Linked DNA regions of Mus musculus: region 2 is reported to be linked to region 1. The links are microRNA targets in miRTarBase. Many come from high-throughput screens and were not tested one by one. Region 1 holds a microRNA gene; the other region holds the end of a gene's coding sequence.
What was found. The annotated mature microRNA mmu-miR-675-3p reads CUGUAUGCCCUAACCGCUCAGU and lies in region 1 at 2,105-2,126, opposite strand. An mRNA with a match to its seed (bases 2 to 7 or 8) in the 3' UTR can be bound and repressed. Matches are read on the target gene's strand: a 7mer-m8 pairs with bases 2 to 8, a 7mer-A1 pairs with bases 2 to 7 and ends in A, and an 8mer does both.

Region 2: miRTarBase lists Fam214b as a target of mmu-miR-675-3p. Seed matches in the 3' UTR shown: 8mer at 1,103-1,110.

What each region holds. Positions count from the first base shown.
Region 1 is chr7:142,574,974-142,578,054 of GRCm38, forward strand. Mir675 (microRNA 675) reads right to left here and starts at 2,174; the gene lies at 2,091-2,174. It overlaps H19 (H19, imprinted maternally expressed transcript), which reads right to left. Exons shown (of 5, transcript NR_130974.1): 1 at 1,856-3,081; 2 at 1,640-1,770; 3 at 1,436-1,557; 4 at 1,230-1,357; 5 at 557-1,141.
Region 2 is chr4:43,030,902-43,033,982 of GRCm38, reverse strand. Fam214b (family with sequence similarity 214, member B) reads left to right here. Exons shown (of 9, transcript NM_001253353.1): 8 at 1-171; 9 at 295-1,569. The coding sequence ends at 448. It overlaps Stoml2 (stomatin (Epb7.2)-like 2), which reads left to right and starts at 2,599. Exons shown (of 10, transcript NM_023231.2): 1 at 2,599-2,654; 2 at 2,875-3,012. The coding sequence starts at 2,610.

The DNA.
Region 1 (3,081 bases):
GAGCCTTACTGCAAGGAGTCAGATTTACTGTGCAGTCTACATTATGCCTCGGGAGTTGGGATTAGTGTGAGGACTCAGAGTCATCCAGGCAGGACCTTGGGAGCAGTGTAGAATCCAGGTTTCTGGCTGGGCCCACCATCTCTCATTGCTAAGGATGTCCTTCACCTCCCCAGCCTCTCTGTCTTGAGGGACCCTGCTCACAGCCCTGCCTCTGTCTCCGTATGGCACTCTGGCATTTTTTAATTGTGATGTCGACTGCTTTGCCCGTTCTTCAGGCACCATTTCATATTCATAGGCCCCTTCCATACCATAGCTTCTTGGCATCCCATGAGGCCTTTCGCTGTGTGCCATCCCATGAGCCTCCTATCCCAGTGCCACCCACCTTTTCATAAGCCATCTCCTATTCCCCATTCCATCCTAGAGGCCCTCCCCATTTCATTATCCCCTTCATCATGGATGGTGTACCCTATCCCTTTTATTCCCCTTCCCTCATTTCTTTCCCCTGCCCCCCCAACCTCCCCCCATGAGTCGCATTATATTGAAGTCCACGAGACCAATGACTGTAACTGTATTTATTGATGGACCCAGGACCTCTGGTGAGGCCCTGGTGAGGAGGGGCAAAGGATGAAGTAGGGCATGTTGAACACTTTATGATGGAACTGCTTCCAGACTAGGCGAGGGGAAGGCGAGGCCTCAAGCACACGGCCACACCCAGTTGCCCTCAGACGGAGATGGACGACAGGTGGGTACTGGGGCAGCATTGCCAAAGAGGTTTACACACTCGCTGTATACATTCATACGGAGAGACTCAAAGCTATCTCCGGGACTCCAAACCAGTGCAATCGACTTAGTGCAAATTCAAAAGGGGGTAAATGGGGAAACAGAGTCACGGGTGCTTTGAGTCTCTCAAGCAAGGAAGGAACAAAAGGAAAGAAACAGAATTACAGGAAAGGAGGAAGAAGAAAAAGACAGGAGGGAGATGATGAAGTCATCCCGGGGTAGAGGCTTGGCTCCAGGATGATGTGGGTGGTGGTCTCCCGGGTCAGGCAGAGTTGGCCATGAAGATGGATTCTCAGGGGTGGGTGGGTGCTATGAGTCTGCTCTTTCAAAATGTTGACACCATCTGTTCTTTCAGCTTCACCTGCAAAGAGAATAAAGACAAATGAGGTGGGGCGGGGGGTGGGGTGGGGAGTGGGCTTGGCAAGCTTCCAAAGGGTGCCCCAGCTCACCTTGGAGCAGATTCCTGAGGCAGGTAGTGTAGTGGTTCTGATTGCAGCATCTTCTTGATTCAGAACGAGACGGACTTAAAGAAGTCCCCGGATTCAAAGGCCCAGACATGAGCTGGGTAGCACCATTTCTATGGGTGGGAGAGAATGAGACCCCTGTCCTTGGCATCCCACCCTCTCCCACCCACATGGGGCAGAAGAGAACTCACCTTTCATCTTGAGGGTTCAAGGTAGGGGGAGGAGGATCCAGAGAGCAGCAGAGAAGTGTTAGCTCTTTGGGAAAAGTGAAAGAACAGACGGCTTCTACGACAAGGCGCCAGCCCATGGTGTTCTGCAAAGGACAGAATCCTGAGTGAGTGGGTGGACAATTAGGTGGTTGAGCGGACTAGCCCTGTGGCAGGGAGTATGCTCACCAAGAAGGCTGGATGACTGCCCTTCTGTCCTCTCCATCACACCGGACCATGTCATGTCTTTCTGTCACATTGACCACACCTGTCATCCTCGCCTTCAGTGACTGGCAGGCACATCCACCTCTGCTGGAGACCTGGCTATAGGGAGAAATGAAGACATGAGTTAATTGAACTTGCGTGGGAGGAGACTGGGTGACCACGAGCGGGACAGACACTTACCCTAGTCTCCAGTCCGAGCTCTTCGAGACACCGATCACTGCTCCGTCGCCGCCCGCAAGGCCCTCCTTGGCCACGGACTCTGGAGGCCAGTGCCTCCCTGGCTCACCACCCCAGCTACTCGCTCTACCTGCACCCAACCTCCCTCCCTAGAAACTCATTCATTCTGCCCCGCCTGCCTCGCCTCGTCTGGCTTCATCCTGTGCCCTTGACTCCCCTGGAAATGTTCTGTCTGTCATGCCAGACCCAGGGACTGAGCGGTTAGGGCATACAGTGTACCAAGTCCACTGTGGGCCCTTTCCGCACCAGTCCCTGGGCCGCAGTGCCTCATGGGAATGGTGTGTCTGCAGGCTGGACCCACTGCAGCCTCCTTGCTGTAAAATCCCTCTGGAGTCCGATACCTGCAGCCCCCACTCCCCTTCTGGTGACACCCTGCACTGCCCTTCTTTTCCATTCTCCAGTTATTGAGGCTCTGGCAAACTTGGGACTTTGCCAGAGCCACTCTTGAACCTTCTTCTAAGTGAATTACGGTGGGTGGGATGTTGTGGCGGCTGGGGACCCATCTGTGTCTTGTGACCCCATCTTGCCCTGTTTGACCCCAGCCTAGAATGCTTCTGTTCTTGCTGGATCCCATGGTCTCTGCCACTGTCTCCAAGGACTCCTATCACCTCCCTGGAGGCAGCGGCCTCAGTCTTTACTGGCAACCCTGCACCTCTTCTTTCTTCTCTCTAAGAGCTCTTTCCACCTGGGGTCGCCAATGGTCCCCCAGCCTCCTTCTGTCTCGGCTCCCCCCGAGACGATGTCTCCTTTGCTAACTATCCTGCCTTTCTATGTGCCATTCTGCTGCGAGGCCAGCCGCTTCTTCTCACCAGGCCCCCTCTCTAAACCTTCGTTTAGAAGGTCAGTGGAGCGAGGCCAAGAGAGAAGAAGGAGACTCACCTGCCCAGCAGACGGCGGTCCTCACCTGCCCACTGCTGCCAGCTATACCTTCACTGCCCAGGTCTGGGGTCGAACCCTTCCCAGCAGCTCCCCTTTATCCGACCAGCCGCCACGTCCTGTAACCAAAAGTAACCGGGATGAATGTCTGGCTCCCCATTCCTCTCCAACCCTAGCTCAGGCCCTTCAGCTTCACTCCGATGTTTTCCAGCCTTTGCGATGCCTTTGCTCTGCCTGAGCTAGCCCCTCAGTCCTTCAACATTCCTGCCAGACTCCAGATGCCGAGGTGCTCC
Region 2 (3,081 bases), not on the chromosome of region 1:
ATTTAACCCCAACCAGACTGTGGTGAAGATGTTCCTTGTGACCTTTGACTTCTCGGACATGCCTGCTGCCCACATGACCTTCCTGCGCCATCGCCTCTTCTTGGTGCCTGTGGGTGAGGAGGGAAATGCTAGCCCCACCCACCGCCTCCTCTGCTACTTGCTGCACCTCAGGTAAGCCCAGGACCCGGGGAGAGCTGGAGAAGCTCGGGTAGCCATCTGTCCTCTGCCCTCAACAATCTCCCCTTTCTTCTCCATCATCCGGATGCTGACGTGCTCACACTGTCTTCCCCTCAGGTTCCGGAGCTCTCGCTCAGGCCGCTTAAGCCTGCATGGAGATATCCGCCTGCTTTTTTCCCGCCGGAGCCTGGAGCTGGACACGGGGCTCCCCTATGAACTTCAGGCTGTGACTGAGGCCCCCCATAATCCACGTTATTCACCTTTGCCCTGATCGCAAGCATCCTGAACCTAGGTGGGCCCAAAGCCTGCCTGTCCTACCATCCTGGACAGGGTAAACTGTGGAGAAATGGCGAGAGCCCCTTCAGGCTTGAATTAAAGTCCTCATCCCGCTCACGCCCAAATTGACTATTTGGGTGTTTAAAGCTTCGGTCCTTCCATACCCTGTCTGCTCTGGGTACTTCATGTGCCTGTCCCCTCCCTTGGGTTTCCCAGGCCAGCTTAGGTAGTTAGGGAGGAACCAGAGCTACCCTGAGATTGTCCCAAGTTCCCAGGCAAGTAATGCCAGCGTTGCCTCCCTGTCCTGGGCAGGGGCCACTTATTATTTTATTTATTTTTAATTTATAATTTATTCAAATTGGATTGCCTTGGTGACCTCCCAAACCTGATAATTGGCATCACCCCACTCTCAGATATTGCTCCAACCTCAGGACTTGAAGAAGCTGATGTCGGGGCAAGGGGAGAGCTGCTCTCCTCTGGCTAAGGGCAGAGGGTTTATTCCAGAGGAACTGAGTCACTTAGCCAAAGACTCAGCTTCCCTCGGCTTTCTCTATTCCTTTTCCCTTTCCTGCCCTTCAACCCATCTTCGAAAGCCTGTATGTGTGGTGTGTGTGTGTGTGTGTGTGTGTGTGTGTACAGCTGTGTGCGTGCATACAAACTTGGGTTTGTGTAGGGTGTGTGTGTGAGAGAGAGACAGAATGTGCATGTATGTGTAACACAGGGGTTTAGCCACCTCTTACCTAGGGCTCAGACTCACTTGTCCCTCTCCTCCTGCCTGTGTCTCCTTGCTTTGGTGTCCTGACTGAGGAAGGTGTCCAGGGACAGAGTCAGGCCTAAGGACTGGGGAACCTCCTCTCACCTGACCAGACTCTGACCCACCTACCTCAGCTGGGATGAGGGGTGCCCCTCATTCAGTCACATGGTTCCCAGTTACTCCACTCCTCACTTAAGACTCTGACCCAGCCTCAACCCTTAACTCTTGGGGCTTGGCTGAGGGGAACAAGCATTTGCTGAAACTTGAAAAACAAAACAAACAAACAAAAAAATGGGAAAAATTGTACCTGGTACATTTTTTAAGGAAAAAAAAAAGAATAAATTCTTGTTTGGAAACTTGAACTAACCTCTACTTTTTTTTGTGTTCAAGAGGATGGAGATGTGGGGCCTAAAGGGAGCTGGAATTCTGGCAACAAGCTCAAACCCATGAGATCTTAGGCTGGGATGAGCTGAGTCTTGGACCATAGTCTTAGTCCTTTTTGTATAAGGTGCTGGGGGCTGGGTGGGTAAAGTGAAGCTACAGAGGCTAAACTCTGAGAATCTGGATTCTTACACTGATTCTGTAGTTTAGCCCCATCAGAACCTCAGTGTCTGTATATGTAAAATGAAGGAGGAGGAGGAGAATGAGAAGAAGGAGATGAGGGGGGATACAGGCCTCTTAAAGCTTGTATTTGAGAGAGTGTCAGAGACCTGAGCAAGGTTGATGTGTTTCAGACAAAAATGAAAGGCTGAGGCTCTTTGTTTCCCTCTGTATGTAAGGGGATCATGCCTGACCGTTTCTGGCTCAGAAAAAAATATGAAAAAGAGCTGTTGATGCCTTGGGAAAAGAGGGAAGGGAGAAATCTCCGCCCAGTCCTAAGGTAAAGTTAGGCCTCCTAGTTACCATGACAACGGGAATGGGGTCAGTCCCCAGTGGGAGAGCTGGGCACAACAGCATGACTACCCAAGAATGTCACTATGGCAACCACGGGCAACTACTGAGCGCCAATCCAATCCATTGTCGTTATGGTGACAGATTAGGACAGTTATACACGAGCTGGAGGGTAAACTGAGTCACGGCTGTGGGTACAGAATTTGGTGGGCGGTGTTCCTGTACCACTTGCGGACGGAATATTGCCTCAATTTCTACCACAATGCCCAGGAGCTTCGTAGTTTTTGAGAACCAGAACAAACTTGCACTCTCGGGCTCTCTCTTCAAAGCCTACGTTTCCCAGGGAACGATTTGACGGACGCCGACTAGTGGGGATGGGAGGGTGGACTAATACGCCGGAAGTACGTCGGGCGGAGTGGACCAGCTGAAGGAAGGGCTCGGGTTCAGGCTTCACAAGAGGCCGCTCTGCCCCACCTCTCGTTGGTTCCGGAGGTCGCCGAGGCTGTGGGAAATGCTGGCGCGCGCGGCGCGGGGCACTGGAGCCCTTTTGCTGAGGGTGAGAGCGAGGCAACCTTCACCAGAGGCTCGGGACCGACATCACCTGGGTCTTGAGCTGGGAAGGAGTGGGCTTCTAACTTTGGGGGAAGGACTGTGGTCACAGGTCATGGTCCCCACGTGAATCACTCTCCGGGGACCCTTGGGGGGGGTGTCGAGATCTAGGGAGAGGGATTTAGGGATCCGCGCCTGGTCCCCAGCCTACTCTCGTCTTCCTTCAGGGCTCGGTGCAGGCTTCTGGCCGCGTTCCGCGCCGCGCCTCCTCTGGACTGCCCCGAAACACCGTGATCCTGTTTGTGCCTCAGCAGGAGGCCTGGGTGGTGGAGCGAATGGGCCGATTCCACCGGATCCTGGAACCGGTGAGAACCTCTCTTGCCCGCCCTCAGCCAGCCAGATCGTCTGATCGTTTACTCGTGTGGAAGTGGGAC